Linked DNA regions of Schizosaccharomyces pombe. The gene in region 1 interacts genetically with each later gene. Each region holds a gene or a part of one and is shown on either strand. Other genes may lie near its edges.

What was found.
Region 2: mutations in SPOM_SPCC777.02 (region 1) and nop10 together harm fitness more than expected from each alone (negative genetic interaction), as found in Schizosaccharomyces pombe (one large-scale study listed by BioGRID).
Region 3: mutations in SPOM_SPCC777.02 (region 1) and cwf14 together harm fitness less than expected from each alone (positive genetic interaction), as found in Schizosaccharomyces pombe (one large-scale study listed by BioGRID).

What each region holds. Positions count from the first base shown.
Region 1 is NC_003421.2:1,595,442-1,602,629, forward strand, and holds SPOM_SPCC777.02 (transcription factor), read left to right. Parts: upstream 1-3,602; 5' UTR 3,603-3,740; coding exon 3,741-3,754; intron 3,755-3,825; coding exon 3,826-3,850; intron 3,851-3,865; exon of another isoform or gene 3,866-3,932; coding exon 3,933-5,732; 3' UTR 5,733-5,947; downstream 5,948-7,188. Other genes in the region: SPOM_SPCC13B11.03C (hydroxyacylglutathione hydrolase), read right to left, coding at 1-317, 502-620; fmd3 (glutathione-dependent formaldehyde dehydrogenase), read right to left, coding at 1,974-3,089, 3,129-3,155; SPOM_SPCC777.03C (cysteine desulfurase nifs family protein), read right to left, coding at 6,071-7,188.
Region 2 is NC_003424.3:1,633,202-1,638,028, forward strand, and holds nop10 (snoRNP complex protein), read right to left. Parts: upstream 2,304-4,827; coding exon 2,126-2,303; exon of another isoform or gene 2,074-2,125; coding exon 2,057-2,073; 3' UTR 1,910-2,056; downstream 1-1,909. Other genes in the region: SPOM_SPAP27G11.12 (uncharacterized protein), read left to right, coding at 1-1,541; SPOM_SPAP27G11.14C (uncharacterized protein), read right to left, coding at 2,861-4,827. UniProt on the Schizosaccharomyces pombe protein: Non-catalytic component of the H/ACA small nucleolar ribonucleoprotein (H/ACA snoRNP), which catalyzes pseudouridylation of rRNA and is required for ribosome biogenesis.
Region 3 is NC_003423.3:2,340,652-2,348,845, forward strand, and holds cwf14 (G10 protein), read left to right. Parts: upstream 1-2,889; 5' UTR 2,890-3,052; coding exon 3,053-3,084; exon of another isoform or gene 3,085-3,154; coding exon 3,155-3,534; exon of another isoform or gene 3,535-3,578; coding exon 3,579-3,607; 3' UTR 3,608-3,805; coding exon of another isoform or gene 3,806-6,640; 3' UTR 6,641-6,649; downstream 6,650-8,194. Other genes in the region: coa6 (cytochrome c oxidase subunit VIb related protein), read left to right, coding at 19-198, 345-437; endocytosis protein Dip1, read right to left, coding at 1,160-2,139, 2,260-2,349, 2,445-2,499; msh2 (DNA mismatch repair protein), read right to left, coding at 3,806-6,640, 6,735-6,817, 6,861-6,891; abz2 (4-amino-4-deoxychorismate lyase), read left to right, coding at 7,633-7,806, 7,854-8,160. UniProt on the Schizosaccharomyces pombe protein: Involved in mRNA splicing where it associates with cdc5 and the other cwf proteins as part of the spliceosome.

The DNA.
Region 1 (7,188 bases):
ATCCTGCGTTAAACAATGTATCCCCAGTGAATACAGCATGTTCATTTGAGCTGTGCGCATAAAAGCAAATGCTATCACGTGTATGGCAAGGCGTATGGAGAGCTTCAATCTGAACGTTTCCAATTCGCAATGTTTCTTTATCCTGCAACACATGAGAAACACCATTTTGATCAGAGCCTCCATAAATTGTAACATGAGGGAATTCTTTTTTAAGATTCAAATTCCCTCCAGAATGGTCTGCATGGTGATGAGTTGTGAGGATGGCTTGCAAATCAATCTCCTTGTTCTTCAACTTTTTCTTCAAAATTGGCATTACCCTGGAGCTTTGTCAGCATAGAATTGAATAAAAAAGATCAATTCCAAGCTTTGGATTATTCAGTCAAACTTAAACACTTTCTCTGGGAGCCATGCCTGTCATGTCTTCTTGGCTATATAACACCAGTGTCAAGTGATAAAAATTCTTCCGTTTCTCATGAATAGCTTTCGATAATTAATACTTACACATTTACTTCGGCTGGATCAACAATCGCTGCTTGTCGAGTTTCCTCGCACAACAAAAGATATGCATAATTATCTTGAGTTCCTACCCACATTGGGATAGGTAATATTTGAAAAGACATATTCGTTATTATTATTTTAATTTTTCCTCCTTTTAGCCCACCAACAGCCTTCCTAACGTTCGAACTTTTATATATAAACGTGTTGAAGTTTCAACATTCCATCGGTGATCATTGACCGCTCTATTATATGAGGCTTGATAGGCAATAAATTACCTATCATTTTCAAGATAATAATCAGTTATCGATATCAAAGCGATGCGACACACAGTCCTTTCGCTGTAGAGTTCCATTAGTTCAATATTTCCCAATTCTCCAGTTGGTCAAAATGCGAACGCAAAGAGTCAGCCTCGTTCCACCGCTACATTAAACAAACTGATGATTCTATGATTCCATATAATACGATAATACCATTCTTAGCACTGCTCTTTTACAATTTCTCATTTTATAACAAAAGTCATTCCATACTTAGTACAAACAACGTAAAACTGTTTGTAACTCATAACCCCTTTTTAAGAACTTAATGATATTTACGGTTAATCAACTTTCTGTTCGTTTTCATTCTTAAACATTTCATGCGATGGCAAAATGGGTGTCTTTGATTTTGCTAACAAAAGATATACTCATTAATTTTACCTGTTCGTCCTCTTAAAACTAAAAAGTCACGCGCATTTAATCAATGGCACTTTCTAATTACTAAATGGAGGATACCTTTAACATTGTTACATGGCATTAGCATTTTCACTTCTCCTAACATATATTTCATAACTTTGCTTTCCTTCATATATCACTTTCGATTCACAGAAAGAAAAACCTTTATGAGATTTTAGTCAAATGATACTCGCTTAAAACGTCTTTCATACATTGATCCTGTACCCCGTGAGTTTTGCACAATTATCTCTAAATCCATCCTACAACTACAAATTGTAATGAAGGGCTCCAAAGTGATATTGCCTGACATGTCGAAACGCCATTTATTATAGATTCAAGAAGTTTTTATCATGTTCTAAGATGGATGCATATGCTTGTTCAACCTCAATGATAGAAATTTCTCTTTGTAGGCACGGCTATGAACAAATACAATATTTATAAATTTATTTCTTCAAAGGCATGCTCGTCTTAAGAATTTGGAACATTGCTGCTATTCACACGTTAAAGATGCATTACTCGAATTCCATACAGAATTGAGACATTAATAGACTTCTTTGGTATCACTAGTTTATCGATTCTCAATGACAACTTGGAAATTCTTGTAATGACTAATTCAATTTCGTATGGCTGACTGCCTTCTCCATTAGCTCTCTAGGTGATTAGCAATAGCATGAACGGGAAAGAGGTTAAAGTTTTAGATGGCTGGTAAGCAAATGAAAGAACCTAGATGCTATTTATTGACTTTTTGACTCTTTATTAAATTCTTCAAGGAATCGATAAAACTGTTTTAATGCAATTGCCGTTATGCATGTCAGTGAATGCTTCATTGATTTCTTTGAGAGGTCGACGATGTGTGATATATTTATCAATTTCCAATTTGTGATCTAGGTACTCTTTCACCAAATCGGGAAGCTGACTTCGTCCTTTCACACCTCCAAATGCACATCCTCTCCATACTCGACCAGTAACAAGTTGGAACGGCCTGGTGGAAATTTCTTGTCCGGCAGCTGCTACACCGATAACAATGGATTGTCCCCAACCTTTATGGCATGCTTCTAAAGCGGATCGCATTACGTGCACATTACCTGTACAATCAAAGGTCCAGTCTAATCCACCATCTGTTTCATGTATTAGTACATCTTGAATTGGACTTTGGAGATCATTAGGGTTAATGAAATCAGTGGCTCCAAAACTCATCGCCCAATTTTTTTTTTCGGGATTAACATCTATGCCAAAAATCCGGCCCGCACGTTTTTTAACTGCTCCTTGTATAACAGCTAGCCCAACACTTCCCAAACCAAAAACAGCTACTGAGTCACCCTCCTTAATATCAGCAGTGATCGTCGCGGCTCCATAGCCAGTGGTGATACCACAACCGAGAAGACAGACGCTATCTAAGGGTGCCAATCGTTCAATTGCTACCACTGATATGTCTGCTACAACGGTATATTCACTAAATGTCGAGCATCCCATGAAATGCAACAAGGTATTTCCATTACAGGAGAAGCGGCTGGTTCCGTCCGGCATTAAACCTTTTCCTTGAGTAGTGCGAATGCGTCCACAAAGGTTCGTCTTGCCGGACTTGCAAAATTTACACGTCTTACATTCTGGTGTATACAAGGCGATCACTGGATCTCCTACTTGGACTGTCGTAACTTGAGGACCAACGGATTCAACAATGCCAGCACCTTCATGACCAAGAATTACTGGGAAAAGACCTTCAGGATCTTTTCCAGAGAGTGTGTAGGCATCAGTGTGACAGACTCCTGAATTTACGATTTTGATTCTTACTTCGTGCACTCGTGGGGGAAATACCTGAACATTTTCAATCGACAGTGGAGCTGCTGGTTGCCATGCTACAGCAGCTTTACAGTTAATGATCTGTTTTAATAAGCAAGACTCTGTTTTTATTTAACTTACCTTGCCTGCGGTGGGTGACTGTTGCATTTCTACGCTCTTGAACAATTTCTAAAATTGGTTTTAAGCCTTTATTAAGCATTGGCTTTGGAGTATTTATACGCTGAAAACGGCTATTAAAGACCGATGAATTTGCATTTTAATCTATCAGACTGGCTTGTGAAAATGTTCGTTTCAGCGGCAAGGAGATTGATCGCCGCATCGGAATACTGAAGTTATTTCTTCATGTATCTGATTACAACTTAATCTATGATAATAGTTGTAATTGAATTTATTGTCCAAAATGCTCGTTTTAATCGTACTATCACCAGAAGACATTTAAAAAGTTCAGCACACATGGCAAGCTTGACAATTATATTCAAAAGGTTGAATGGAAGATTGTAAAAGTTTTCTAATTTAAATATATTACTTTAAATGTACAAAGTAAATCCCTCGCTCAGTAAGGTCCTTTTGGTAACTGCGCATCCCATCCCAACTACACACTACCTGTATACATTATGTTACTATAGTTAGTAACTTCTGCATCTTTATGAGTTAATTATTTGGTAGTAAATTATAAAACCGGTTTTCTATTTGACTGGCGAGAGTATAGTTGGGAAATAATTTACGCTGACTATGAATAAATTATCGTAAGGCTCAAGGATTGTTGTCAATTATTAGCATTTGATTTTGAAGTATAAACTTATTAACGTTACACTAGATGCCTTTATTGTAGAAGGCGAAAGGTAATTAAGATAGGATATCAAACTATCCGGCTTTGAAACTTACAAAGTCAAGTTCTCATTCTAACTTGCTGTCTTGAAATAGATAAAGTGCGATAAAAATCGCCCGTGTCATAACTGCTTTGTTGCGAAAAGAGAATGCATAATTGCGGGCGACAATCGGAAGAAGAGGCATACAAAAACCTATGTCGAGGCTTTGGAAAGTCAGTTGGCAAATATGGAATCAACTTTGGCAAAGATCAAAGTTGCCCCGGTAGAGAAAATTCCAAGTCTCTTGGCTGGCATATCTTTCAAAGACCATCTCTCAGCATCCCTTCCGAATAAAACAAGCTATGAGCAAGCGGACACAAATGCGACTAGCAAATCACTAGTAGACCTTCCTGTTTCGTTAGAAGTCCGTGGTAGAAACACGGTTACGTTTTATGGCCCTACAAGCATCTTCGGAACTTCATTTACTTCATCCCCAAGACCTCCACCTTCTGCTTCCATTGAAGATACTTATCCGATAATACATTGCCTACAGCTATTCTTCAAATGGCAGTACGCTCAGTTTTTGTTTATCCATCGCGAATCCTTCCTCTTCGAATATTTTCATCGCTCTAATGATAACATGTATTGTTCAGAACACCTGATTTATGCGTTATGCGCCATAGGTTGTCGGTCGTCTGAAGACTCGCTGCTTGTCAACCAAGCAGATGCTTTTTATAAAATGGCATGGGATGCCTTAGAGAGTTATGGGCTCGAGAATTCACATATAACTTCTGCTCAGTGCTTACTCTGCCTAGGTTTTTATAAAATCGCAATGGGTAATACTTCGCATGGCTGGTTGTTATGCGGTATGGCATTTCGCATGGGACAAGATTTAGGGTTTCATTTGGATCCAAGAGATTGGCACATTAATAACGTTCCGGTTGTATCTGAGGAACAAGCTGCTTTACGAAGCAGGATATATTGGGGCTGTTACGTTGCAGATGTTTTTGTTAGCTTTATTTTGGGTAGACCTACTACGTTGAGCAAGTCAGACACCTCTGTTCCTACTTCAGATGATTTACCAGACTTTTCAGGCATTGAGGATTTCATGTTGGAAAGAGGCGGAGCCCACGCATCGTCTATTACAATTTCTCAGCTTCTGAATCTAATAGTGAGCTTATCCAATATTACCGATGCCATTCTACTCAATGTCTTCGCACCTTACAGTACGAAGTACGGTATTGATCTCAGACTGCAAAATGTTGGAAAATATAACTTGGAGTTGATGAAATGGCACTTTGAGCTACCACCGAACTTAAGTTGGAAAAAAACCGAATTAAGAGATTTTGGACAATCTCCGGAGTTGTGCTTTCTCTGTTTATATTTTTTTTTAATAAGACTTTGTCTGAATAGACCATTTTTATCAAAGAAAGGGCTTTACGTTAATGACATGACTCCTAGAAACATATGCATAGACTCTATTGAAGACGTCAAAGTGCTCATTCGGGCCTACAGAGAAAACCTTGGTTTGCATCACACCCCTCTGATTATTGTCTATGCCTGTATTGTAAGCTGCAGCACCGTTTTTATGCTTTTTGATGGGGCTACTCCTAGTGAAATTGTGGCATTAGAACAAGATATAAAGTTTTTTCTTCACGTGCTAACTAAAATTTCAAAGAACTGGGATTTAGCTTCTAAATCTATAAACCTTATACAAAAGAAATCTACGATGTATGATACCAATGCTAGAGCAAACGATACCGATGTTGATTTTTCAAATGATAAGCAAAACACTCATGATTTCCAAATTAGCCATGATGAGAATTTGATTCAACTCTTTAACGACGAATCAAACTTCTTCAACCTTAATGATTTGGGTGATTTCCAATCAATTTTTGGAGGTCCTCAATTTTAAAAAATTTACCAAGTTTCTGTACTTCCTTATAAGTCATGCTTTTACCTTTTTTTCTATTTAAAAGATTTTTTTTTTACCTATCTATATGTGCATACGGTGTAAAAAATATTCTATCTATATTTATTTTCAGCTTAAGATAGTAATTATTAATATTATGAGATTATTTTAAAGCTCTGCTGTACAAGCTAATTGACTAATAAAATGAATAAATCCTACTTGATCCTGTATGAACACGCAAATAAAGTAATCGTGCTAAAACAGCCTCGTATGAATTTGTGAAAACCCCGCACGTGTAGCAATCTAACTTTTTCACTTAGGTCCAACACAGAATCGTCCTCTTAATTAAAGGGTATCTTATTGAGAACTCCTTTCTTGATGGTATTGGCTAACCTCGAAATATCGGCAGCATTGTTGTAAAGACCCAAAGAAAGTCGAATCCCATCTCTATATTGAGAAGCGTACACACCTTCGTTTTTGAGAAATGCATCCCACTCAGGGTTCAAGATTTTCGCAACGTAAGAGTGGGTAGACCTTTTCTTTGGATCCTTTGAGCCGATAATTGTTACACCAAGCTTGGATAGCTCATCAACCAGCGACTTTCCAAGTTCACGAAGATATTGTTCTATATTTTCAAAACCGATGTCCATTAAGAAGCTAAGGTAATTGTTCAAACACAGAGTAGTAATCAGCGACTTGTTCAAATGTTCAAATCTTCGAGCCGTAGAAAAATAAATAGGATTCAGATTGACTAGTAAATTTGCATCAAGATTTTCAATGGCTCCAGCTCCAACAATTGGAGGTACATTTTTAAGTTGTGGAAGCACATCGGGAGCAACATATAATACTCCCAAACCAGTCGGACAGCTTAAACCTTTATGACATGCAAATGCGCATGCAGAAACATTTAATTCCTGAACATCTATGCTGCTTAACCCAACCTGTTGGGTCATGTCGACTAATACATGAATGTTTTCAGGCCGAAATTTATTGCAAATGTCTTTCACGTTATTTAGCTGTCCCGAATGGAACATGACAGATGATATGCCAATTGCTTTTGTCTTTTCATCTACATACGGTTCAAACGTTGAGGCATCAGCATAATATATATCTTTAGACGGTATTAATCGAACTTCTAAACCAGCTTCTTGAAGGGAAATCCATCCAAAGCCATGATTAGGGTGCTCTCCATCTAATAATACCACGTTATCGCCAGGTTGAAAATGCATAGAGCGTTGGAACAAGTTCAATCCCTCAGTAGTGTCCCTAGTGAATGCAATTGAGTCAGAACTAGACGCATTTAAATATTTTGCAACTAACTCTCTAGTTTCTTCTGCTTTCTGTTGCCATAGTGGTTTTGGATTAGGATTGTACAAACCCCAATCAACGTATTCATTTATAGTATTGGCAACTATAGAGTTCATGGGTGGTTGAAATGAAAGGTTGAAAAAGGTTATGT
Region 2 (4,827 bases), on another chromosome or scaffold:
ATAATAATTACCGTTCTTCAAAAAACACATTACCAAAAAACTATTTTAGCATTCTGCTTTCAAAACTTCAACCTTATTCAGATTTCCAAATCATCCTTGATGGAATGAGCAGACTGTTATATCCCCCTATGCAATCTACCATTCCAAAAAGAAGCTCATTGATTATGTTTGACTACTACCCTCTTGTATTAATTTTTTGCAAACTTTTTATTCATTATAACGAGAGGTTTTTTCATTATCTTATTGATACCGATCGAGCAATCGATTTGTTTATATTTTTGTTATATTTAAGTTTTGAATATCTCGGAGATCCTTCGACTTATAACCACTTAAAGCTTTGTGTAATTCTGTTAAAGCGCTTGACCGCTGAAAAATATTTTTGTAAGCGCTTAAACAAGCCATTTCAACAGCAGACCGCCTTACCAATTAGCATGCCAGTTCCTTTCGAAGGTGGTACTTACGCAGATTTTACCATTATTGCAATTTCATTACTAGTGCAATATACTAAAGATTATCATTCCGAGATTGCTCAAATGCTTTGCTGCTCGCTTTGCTACCTTTGTTTATACGCGCAAAATTTAAACTCACATTCCAGCCAGAGTTTGTTTGAATTGTTTCAATCTGCTTCCTATCCAGGCTTTTTAATTTCTAACGACGTCAATCACAAAATTTTAAAGTATGTTATAGGAGCTATCAACAATGCAATTCAATATGCCCAAAAATACAATGCACCACTCTTATACTTCTTTTCAATGCACAAAGATTACATTGAAGCGGTCAGCGCTTTATCGTTTGATGCCATTATGAGTGTTAGAAACTCATCCGCGGAAGGAGATTCTGCATACTGGACTCGCAATGGTAAAACATTTTCTTCAAAAGCGTTTGACTCCATATTGTTAAGCCGACTTCGATATGTTAGGTCAAAAAGTCCAACGCCATATTATCCTATAGAAAGTAGTGAATTTGGTTTCACTAACCTCAAAGACGTTACTAGCAAAGATGAAATTACTGATGGATTCGATAAAGCACTTCGCTCCAATTCTTTACGTACTCACAGGGATAGTAGGCCTGTCCAACCATTGTTGAAGCAACGTCCTCAATTACATAGAGCTCTTACAGAAAGTGCCACACTCCATGGCAATGACCGTTCGTTAGAAGATACCGACGAAGCGAAGGTAGAGCCAATTGCTCATTCAGTAGATTACACTTTTAAGCCGACTGTAGAATGGTGGAATAAATGGTGGCCTTCGCTGAACTTCCGAACTATGCTCGATATTTTCACTGACCTATCTCTCAAAATCAGTGATATGAAGAAAGCCGGTCATCCAGCTTCAGAAATCATGGCTATGATAAAAACTCAAAAATACCCAGCAACTAATCAACCATACATTCCGAAATATAGAACAAAGGAATGGAGACAACAATTGGCAAATTTTGCTCGTCTATTCGCCTGGCAAGTCTCATGCGATTTAGACAGTCATAAAAGAGAAGGGCCAGGCATCTTTGAAGGTACGGATGTCAAAATATTTGACTCATTTTAGACTTGAAATCTCCTTGAGGATTATGCTTGAGCGGCATATCTCCGTTTTAAGAATTGAAATGGAGAAATTTGAACTATCCTAAGTTTTGTATGTTCAAAGAGTCTGTTTGAATAGATACTTGGCTTTTTACATCTGTTTTATTTTTTTATTATTTCTTTTCACAAATTGGTTAAAAAAATGTTGTTTCGTTTTTCATTCAGAATTACCACTAGTATGTTACTACTTTTATCGTTATTTTACATTCTCAGTAACTGTTTAGCATTTACTAAAAGATTTTATGTATACACCAGGGATTTATTCTTTGTAGTTTAATAGATAATAAATGCAAATGCCAAACAAATAATGCTTCGCAATAAACATCGGAAAATCAACTCAAGTTGAAATATATTTTTTTTTCAATTGAGCACACTACTCACATAACCAAAGAAAAATCAAAACTATTGATTATTTAACCAAAACCATACTTATGTAGCTCCCTTCTAAAGGCGAAAATTTTTCGACGTTTTCTTATTTGCTCAGTAAGGTTTTGCAGCTAATCGTTAGAACACTATCATTATACCAATTAATTTAATAGAAATACTTACGCAATTGAGTAAGTAGTACATGAAACCGTTTTTTCAGAGTATAACGTTGTCGAGAATATTTATCGTCAGGAGAGAAACGAGCAGGATGCGAAGATTTTGTGACTCTTCCATCTGGAGATACCTTTTTTAAAGTATAAACACGCTTTCCCTCATCATTTAAATAATACATCAAATGCATTGTGAAAAAAAAAACGGATATTACAATTTTCCTATGGTGCTGGAAAGGTGTAAATGTCAAAAGTACCTCAACTTCAGGTGACTGTTTTTGTTGCTAAATTACGCTAAAGCATTATAACACAGACATAATCAAATATTAAATTATTTAGCGACTCTCTTCTTTTATTATTCACTAAAATTTAAAAACAATACTGTAAGCAGAATAAGCAATATGGGGTTAAGGATATAGCAATCTTCGTAAAATTAAAACAGCTATTGTCATTATAATAAATTAGAATAAAATAATTTCTTTTAAAATCCGAGTTTTCAGCTATTAAGAAAATGCGATTAATTATTGACCAAATCAGATCCAACTATTTAGTTTACATCTTTAACATACGTTTGCTTGGAACATTTAGTAATTGCACCTTAGTACACTTAACTTATGGGTTATTAAACAAGGGAGTTAAACCTCTATTTTAAGCAGTTCGTTTTTGATTGTCTTTCTTTAGGGAAATATTATTTTTTTTTTTTTATTGCGCATCTAATTAAGATAGATAATTAATTGATGTCTTTGCTTTAATAATCACTCAAAGAATTGCTCTTTGTCTCCTTTTCAAACATATCCATTAACGTTTGACTAAGTTTGTTCCATGCAACCTCCCCCATTGAATTTTCAAAAAACAAAAGTAAATTAACCAACCGCGGTAGAAGACTGGATTCTGATAAATCATCGTCAGAATATCTTTGTACTCTGATATATTTCCTTGAACAATTGAATATATGGCTCAAATTATCATTCCTAATGATACACTGTAATCCACCTAACTTTTGCACTGCCTTTAAGCTTGATGGGTAAATTATGTACGGACATTGTTTGTGATTATATTTTAGTAACTTCTCTGCTTCTCCGAGATCCAGCGTTTTCCCCACATCTGTAATATGCCAACAGAGCATTCGAATCGGGTTGATCAATAGTCGAGATATAAACCAGTGCGAACTGAATGATTGGTGGTAAAGGCTATTTTCAAAATTTCTTTGCATAAATTTTAAAATAAGTTCTTGTATAGCGATTCTCTGTTTCGGTGTAAGCGACTTTTGTCGCTGATGAACAAATTCTGACAAGTATTGAAACAACGTTGATTCATTGTATTGCTGACTATGTAATTTTGTCAGAGCGATTCCTTTCCTGGAACAGAAAAACAAATTTTTCAGATGAGTAGAAGACATAATTTGATACAGACCACCCATTGCAGCTACAGCATGTAGATGGTATCGTTCCAAATGGAATGGATGGGCAAATGATTTAAGAAATAAGCGGTTTGCCTCCTGTAATACAACCATTTTTTTTGCAATCATTAAATAAGAAATCAGACATAAGGTTGGCTTAACCAACAAGCTAGCGAGCAACGTATTAAATGAAGAAGAAAAAGAATTATTGAAAAGTTCTTTTTCGGATAACTCTTTCCTGGCGACGTTAAACTTTGAAACATATAAATCAAAATTTTGGTATATAGTCTTTTCTGATTCAGGAATAGATAATATTGAAATTGACTCGTTAGATATTAATTTATTAGGAATCACAGTTTTTATGCTTCGAGTAAACTTGTAAGTTTCTTTTTTTGTCTCCTCGACATTTATTGTTTCGTATAAAGAGTCAATCATGGCATCCCAAACGTCCACTGGAACAATTTTCTTTCGATTTTTGGAAGATGAATATGCTAATAAAAAAATTTTTGCGACAAATAAGTCATCTTTTTCATTTTCTACAAATGCAAGCAAGTTTTTTTTTAAACCCATCAAGTAAACAGCGTTGTATAGACCTCCAATATACTTAATTGCTAATAAATTTCCTTTCGTGAATTGTTTTGAATGATTGCTTGCTGTGCTAACAGCTGTGTCTTCAAATTTCATGATTTTTTTACCGGATAAATCTTCAAAAACTATTTGAGAAAACATGAAGTGCAAAGGATCAACGAGTAAGCTTGTGAATGCCCAGCATTTTGATGAATTTTTCAACAAAAACTCGTCATTGTGCGAACTAACTTCAACGTAAACATCTTTGAAGACAGTATTAGTATTGATTGATGATTCTTTGAAAGAAACTTTGTCATTGGCGTTGGAAAGTATGGAAGCAATCCTTATATACAACTTTTCAGATGATACGACACTATCGTCAGTTGAAAGCAAAATAACTTTCTGAGCTGAACAGTAAAAAACATCAGTCAAATATTTTCGTATGAAACTTTGAAGAGAAACAAAATGGTAAAAAATGCTTTCAGGAATCAAGCTCTTCCAAATGTATTCAGCTTCATTTATACCAGTTAAGCAATTGGATCGTCTGGCATACCAATAGATAGCTTGAATTGCGTTTACAACAATAGATGTAAGTTTTTGGTTCTTTCTAAAATCAATGACGGGGACTGTAGCAGTAAGGTCATCATGTTTTTTTTTTTGCCAAGTTGAGTGAAATCGCCTATTGCAGCAATTGTTTGAAACAATGACTGAATTTATCAACGCATAGGTGGTTGCTGTAATTTTGAAGA
Region 3 (8,194 bases), on another chromosome or scaffold:
AAGCTTTGTTACGAACTCATGGCTGGTAACGGCGCATTACGAAGAAGTGCTCGAGAAAAATGCTGGGAAGCCAGAGATGCTTACTTTGGTTGTTTGGATAGGCATTCCATTTTGGATGGATTGAAAGATGATACAAAAGCAGCCCAGGCTTGTTCCGCTGAAAAAACCGCTTTCGAAACTGATTGCGTAAAATCTTGGGTATGAATCGCCAAAATTGTAAATGAAATCTGGCTGGTATGAAATGAAACGAGAAATTCCGATTTTGCAATTCTCTTGAATTATTACCTTAAAGATCTCCATTACTTCTTTTTTTCTTTCTCACTAACATTGTTTTTCTGGATTAGGTCAATTACTTTCTAAAGTTTCGAGTTCAACAGCATCAGCAACAAGAAGCTATCAAAAAACTCGAGGCTCAAGGCGCAAAAAAGTTGAATTAGCTGTTCCTGAATACTCTCATACAATCTCATTGCATCTAGGTTTCCCCCATCCTAATATGTTTTCATTTTTATGCTTAAGTACTTATTACTCATCTTCAACTTTGGCAAATCAAACAAAGCGGTATTTTTTTTTTCCTGCCCTTCCTCTGTTTACTCTGTTCTTTCATTTTTGATGGTGAAATTTTTAACTGAACCCTTTCAAAAGAAAGTTTTGTGTTTACGAATAATCACCTATTTTTTCAAAGACGACGATGAATCTAAATTACGTTGTCTAACTTGCACATTTACGATCACCGAAAGTTACAGAAAATGTTAGATGATTGATAGGGGTATTATTAATTAAGCATTCCTATATTAGTTTATGCCATTCTTCACGTTTGTTATTTAAAAATTTTCTTCACTTCTTCTTTTGCAATGGATATGTCTAACTAGAGATTTTCTATTCATTGATATGAAAATTGCAGTGTTTAAACTTTTAGCATTTTCTTTGCATTCCAAAGAAATTTCTCCAAGTTTTATCAATTTTCTGCAAGAAGTAATACGCCAAAACTGGCTTTTCAAAAAACAACAGACTGGCAAAAGGAGAGAGAAAGTATTAAAAAAAAGAGTGGAAAGGAGATTGGTTAAAATTTGCAATTCTTTTTGGTTGATCTGACAATAAATGAAGGAAACGAGTGAGGTGCTTTAAAAAAATAAAAAGTTTTTCAGTAGTAGAATAAAAATTATTGAGCGGTTCCTAATGACTTCATCTCTTGTTGAAGCCACGGTACTTCTAAAACACGTATGGCAACATCTGTAGTACGTGCATCTTCCATGTTGCTGCTTTTTGAGTGAGAAATTAAGACATTATTGACCGCGTCGACTATACACTTAGTTTTGTAATGAGGTGGATGGCGCACCTGTGTATTTTCAAGCAAAGGAATCAAAACTTGCAAATATGCATACCGAAGATCCGAAAGCTCATCGGGAATATTGTTTATTTCGCGTATGAATATATCAATTAGGACATTGAGATCATTGGTATAGAATATCTCATACGTAGCGGGAGTTGTAAAAAGAAGGAATAGTTGTTTTAGTATTAACATTCGAGAGCGTGGATCCTTTTCTCGATTTAGAGTGAAAACTAGGCCTTCACTGTAGATACCGTTATCCACTTTGGAAGAGCTCAGCAAATCCATTATGCCATTTGCGATTTCAAACGAACCTTTGGAAGCAAGCCGAACAAGCATAAACTGTTCATTGATGCTAAGCAATGTCAAGACGCACATTCCAAAACTGTCCATGTCCTCATCATTCCAAGCTTCTTCCGACGTTTTGAATAGGTTTACTAAAAAATATTCATCAATTGCGACTAAGTCGGTCGGTGAAAGTCGTCTCGAGCGACAAATATAGTACACTAAGAATAAAGCATAACGAAAAGATGTAAAAGCAACATTTTCTGAACGATCCTTGAACTGTTTCATTGCCTTGATCAAGACGGGAATGAACCCCGTAGAAGCCAACAAACGCAAGCAGTACTCATTCTCTTGAATTTCGGATTGAAAGACAATGATTATGAATTTCAAAGTTTGTTGTTCTTTCAAGAAAAAAAAGCAATCATAGAAAATACTTAAAACGGCGTTTTCGTCTAGTTGATAAAGCGGACTATTGAGGAACTTTTCCATACATCTCTGCAATTGGAATTCTGTAATTAGGTACGGTTCTATTGAATTTATTTTGTTAGATAAGATGTTCTATAAAGAGACAAACACTCAATTTCTTTGTATTTCATCCATAGGAAAAACACGGAAAATTGTGCTTCCCCAATTCTCCAAAACATTACCTCCATATTTGTTGATAAAAGAAAGAAACTTTGAAACACCAATTTCCAGTTCATTTTTTTCGTATGGTATAGTTAAAAGTTCGTCAATTTCTGTCACCAAATGTTAGCGTCAACGGGAATACTATTTAGCCAGGATAATGAATCCCAGGCACATTCAAGTTTACAATTATGAATAAATTGCATACCCGCCAAAAATTGCTTTTCATTCTCTAAATTATAAAACACATCCGTGAACTCCATGTGGAGGTTAGGGAAGGTTTAATTGCCGCTTTCTCATTATCGAGCCTAGTATTCAATAGACAAAATTCTCGCTAATATCCATCGATAATCAACTTTAATATATGATTAGTAGTCAACACAACAGAGCGTCAATGTTATACCATGAAAACAGTATTGTAGTATTATAGTATACAAATGCATCTGGTTCCCTTTTGGCCATATGTTAAGGTATAAAATATAGTGGAGACACAAATTCAAAAATTCTCAATTATCCTCAATTGAAGAGGCTATAATTTAATTAACGGAGAAAAAACTTAGTTTCTATAGTTAAGAATATCTTGCAACAGTTTCAATCGCGGCAGTCTATTTTACAAGGAATTTACACTGGATTCTCACAAATCCAACTTGCCCATAAGTACACTACCACCAAATAAGTAAAAGGATAAAAACTACCCATCACTAGATTTCATTTTATCGGTTTCTTTATATTTAATCTCTTTAAAGCAAGCATTCCTTATTCTGTGTTGGTTTATTGAAGAAAAGTCGTAGTTTGCTTAAAAAATATTCTGTTATCATGCCTCGTCTTCGAACGTCAAGAACCAAGCGGTATGTATACCAAGTATTTTCCTTGTTACCTTTATTTTTACCTACGAAGTAAGATTCTAATTAGCTATAGCCCTCCTGACGGATTTGATGAAATAGAACCCACCCTTATTGAATTCCAAGATCGTATGCGTCAAATTGAGAATACAATGGGAAAGGGAACTAAGACGGAAATGCTAGCACCGATTTTTCAACTTCATCATCAGCGCAGTCGTTATATATACGATTTATACTACAAACGGGAAGCCATATCTACCGAACTTTACAACTGGCTGCTAAAACAAAATTATGCCGATGGAAATTTAATCGCCAAATGGAAAAAACCAGGATACGAGAAACTTTGTTGTCTGCGCTGTATTCAAACCGCTGAGTCAAAATTTGGTTCAACGTGTATATGTCGTGTACCTAAATCAAAACTTGATAAAGATCAACGTGTGAGATGTACTCATTGTGGTAAGTAAAGAAGTGCTATTGCTACCAGTTGCTAATGAAAATAGGTTGTAATGGTTGTGCAAGCTGTGATTAATTGGAAAACTAGTGGTTCGTTTCCCATTTATATCTTTTTATTTGGTTATTATGGCAAATGAAACAGTTTTGGGTTATAAAATTCATTGATCTATGGCTTTTCCTCGTTTTAGTAAAAAATTATTTTATTCATAAAATGCGCTTCCAAAAAACATGTACCTTGGTTGAATTCTTTCAATTAGTACCTTGCTCACATTCTTCATGAGGAAACCTCATTTGTGGATACCCTGGATTGTAGCCAGTTGTTGGAATTGATTTGCTGTGCGAATGAGCCGATGACTTTTTGAAATTGGTCCATCATTTGTTGCTGAGTCATTTCTGGTTTGACGTTGCTACGCCATTGTCTCATTATATCACGTACAATTGCCATACCTTCTTTTTTAGATTTCACTTCTTGAGTATCCCCTTGGGCTCCAGAGTCTTCAGCTTCTAATTCTGCGGCTTTGTTGCTTGCCATTTCAATAATCTTGGGAGGGAAGTGCGCAAGTTTAGCAACATGGATTCCAAAACTCCGATCACTAGCTCCTTCACAAACATTATAGAGTAAAGCTACATCCTTCGATTCTGAATCACCTACATAGGCTGTAACATGCAAATTTTTGACAGTAGTGATTTCTTCTGATAGTTTGGTCATTTCATGATAATGTGTTGCGAAAAGGCAAAAGCAACCGATTTGAGTCACGATGTGTTCTGTAATAGCCCACGCTAATCCAAAACCATCGGTTGTGCTAGTCCCTCGTCCTAATTCATCAATGATGATTAAGGATCGCGGTGTGGCAGCTCTCAAAATCGTAGCGGTCTCCAACATTTCGGCCATGAAAGTAGAAATGCCTTTAAGCTGTGAGTCGCTGGCTCCGACACGTGCAAGGATAGCATCAATAATATCTAGATCAGCCACTTCACAAGGCACTGGACAACCAATCTGTGCCATGACGGTAATAACTCCAACTTGACGGATATACGTTGATTTTCCACCCATATTTGGTCCGGTTATGATTAATAGCTCTGAACTTCCATGCTCAAGATTAACATCATTGGGTATGAACTTCACATCGTCCTGAGCTTCCAAACAAGGATGTCGCGCTTGTTTTAGGTAGAGACGAGCACAATGATTATTTTCTAGAGTTCTTCGTATTTCTTCAAAATTAGGAGTATCTTCTAATGAAACAATGTCCAAAATATTGCTACTTTGTCCATGCTTTTCTTGTGCAATGCTTGAATCCACAATATTTGGTCTTACATAAGGTATTACAGCTACCGTACTTGCATGTGCGAAACTTAGAATCACGTCCAAATGAGCAATTACTTGGCCAATCGCCTCCAAAGGAGGACCGTATGTTGCAGCTATCTTTATAACTTCACGTGCAAGCCCATTTTGGTGGTACCGGTAGCTTTTTTGGTGATCCATATAAGAATTGTTTAGTGAATGAAGACGTTTAGTGGTAAAGTAGACTCCATTTTTTTGAGTTGATAATTCTGTATAATGAGAACTACGGCCTCTTAAACAGCCAGCTTCTGTTCTAGTAAGGCGTAGACACCATCCATAGAGGTGATGTTGCTCAAGATGTAATTTTTTCTCGGTATCTTGGTGGAGATCTGAACCGACCCTTTTATGTTCTTCAAAGATAGAATGCTGTAATTCGTCTAATCGTTGACGCAAATCTAATAGCTCCTCATCAAACTCTGCACGGATAATATACTGATGTGAATCCAATGCTTCCAAGTCGATGGTGGTTTCAACAAGCTCTATTAATTTTTCCAAGTTTTTGCAATGATTGTTAAGGACGTTCGTGTATACTTTATCCACCAAATCTTTATGTTCACTAGTCAAAGAGTCAAGTACCGTAACGATCTTCGGAAGTGCCTTTGCCATTTGATAAATACGTACAACATCTTCTAGACTAGCTGATCCACGAGTTAAACGCCTGCATAGTTTAGGAATATCTGGAATTGAACGAAGAAGATGATCATCATCAAGCAATAACTGGCGTGCCTCAGCATCTTCCACAAGTGCGGAGACCAAGTCATGTCTTCGTTCAATTGATTTTGCATCCAAAAGTGGCTGAACAATCCATCTTCTTAAATTCCTTGCTCCCATCGCAGTTCTACAATGATTAAGTAAACCATAAAGACTCATTGTTTTATGAGCATTACCATTGGGAGGAGGAAGTAGGTTAAGAGAACGAACTGCTGCAATATCTAATCGCATGTATTGTTCCAAGTTGTGATGATACAGATGGAGCTTTCGAGATGTGTTTTCACGGTCGTCTTCCATGTCAGGGTTTAGTAACGCAGGTCCTAAATAGCGAAGCAATGCATTGCAGGATGCCATTGCTAATTGTAGACCTAGTTCTGGAACAAGAGCATGTGTAACTGGACTGTCGAGCACTTTTGAGAGCTCAAGTTCAACATCTCGAGCCGAAAATTCAGAGCTTCTTATAGTTGTAACTAATGCGCCACAACCTTCAATAATATTTCGAAGACGATTGATTTCTGCCGTGTTAATAGAAACGGCTGAATTGCCATTCGTCGATTCATGCCCAGATTGCGATATTATGCACTCTTTCGCTCCAACTTGCACTATGAGAGCTTCAAAGTTCGTATAAGCATCTGAGTCAACAAATTCTGAAACACCTAATTTTTTTAAAATTGGATCTATAAAAGCAACGCCAATTATTCGCTGATCTTGTTTAACCCTAGTAGTAACAGCCAACAAAACCGAACTAACTGAGCTATCACTAATGGCTGTGGATTCTTGATAATTCTCACTAACAAGCAAATCTTCCAGCATTTGCATATTTCCAGGACTAGCTTGCTTCAACAATTCAAATCCTGTCTTTGCGGAATTGGCTCCCCAAATTTCAACTCTCTTTGCAAGGTTGCTTAAAACATCTTCCGCAAACTTAATAAATAGTGAAGGAGATAAGTTACAATAAGATGTATTAGACACATTGTGGTGTTTTAGCACCGAAGTAGTGTGATACGCGTTTTGAGCAACAAACGAAGCGTCTTCTCCTATTGCAACGTAAAATTCCTAGAAAACAGTGTTAGATTGGATTAAAAAATAATAATATTTCAAGTTATTTTTTACGAAGTTTAAGTAAATTTTTCTATTCATCAATACTTACCCCTCGATCAAATACACGCACTGTGTTTGTATCTTTAGGCATTTTTTCATAAAAATTAAACATCCTTGCCTCATCAGTTCTTTCTGTTTTAAAATATTAGTTCAAAGAAGTAACCCCTTGACAAACCATTAGCAATTGAAGCGTTTCTAGAAGACATATTGATTGAATGTTCTAAAGCGCGAACGCGAAATGTATAAAACAGGAGAAGAAACTCCTTGCCACAGTTAAGTCCTCAAAAAGGATAAATAAAAAACCTCAAAAAAAGGAATAGATTTAAAGAATGTTAAATAACGAAGGACCGACGTCGAAAGTAACACAGTGGGAGATTGGTAGCTGCCAAAGTTATATGACACAGAACTAGTCAAACATACTAAAAAATTCATCTAAGCTAATAAATTGAATCTTAAAAATTAATCTATTTAATTAAATGCCTTGTTGTTTAAGTATTTCAACTTTGCATTCGAACTATTAAACACCAATAAATTATATTATAGTGTTTACAAAATTTATCATATGCAAATATTTAAAATGGCTGTTTTGTTAATTTAGTAATAGTAGTAATGGCATGGATTCGACTTCATTTTAAAAAAATAAATAAATAAATAAAAACCAACGAGGTGTCCAATTTTCTAAGTGTGCTACTCATAAGTTCTCTCTTCTGTTGATATTTTTTCGAAGTTTCTCCACTACTATACAACTTACACACAATATACTGTGCCTGAGCAATCGATTTTTGCTACCACTAACTACATCAGTTGATAAGTAGTATAGTCAAGGATTTAGTTTGTAAGTTTTTGAATTTTTGTCACTAAATTCTATTGTCAATAAATATGAAATTCTAAGTCTTTCTACTCTTTGGGTTTTTTTACTTTAGAATAATTCTGACCAGCACAGTGGAATGGAAGAATCAAATTTATTTGAAACCACTCTCTATGATGGAGAACTGTTTTTGCTGCCAAGCCACTTGCAGCGAATGAAAGCTTCGGCAAAGTCTCTTGGATACTCTTGGCCTGGAGAGCAATACATCGAAAATAAATTACGAGAAGCGGTTCAGGATACTTCCATGGCAAGGGTAAGTATGCTTGCTATAAACTTTATACATTGATCTAAACATAATAGGTAAGGTGGGAACTTTCTAAAGCTGGAGACGTTACTGTTCAAATTGTTCCTATTCAAACTTTAGAAAAAGCACCGTACACATTAATTCTGGATAAGCAACCAAGTTCTACCGAGAAAAACCCGTCCTGCATTAATAAGATGACCAACCGAGCAATTTACATTGAAGCAATGAACCGCAATGATGCCCAATACTCAAAAGCACAAGACGTTCTGTTATACAACCATCAAGGGTTTGTAACAGAAGCAACAATATTTAATGTTGCTTTTCACCGGAATGGCCAATGGATAACGCCCAGCCTCAAGCATGGTAAGTACCGAGATAACTAATGTCTTTTTTACAC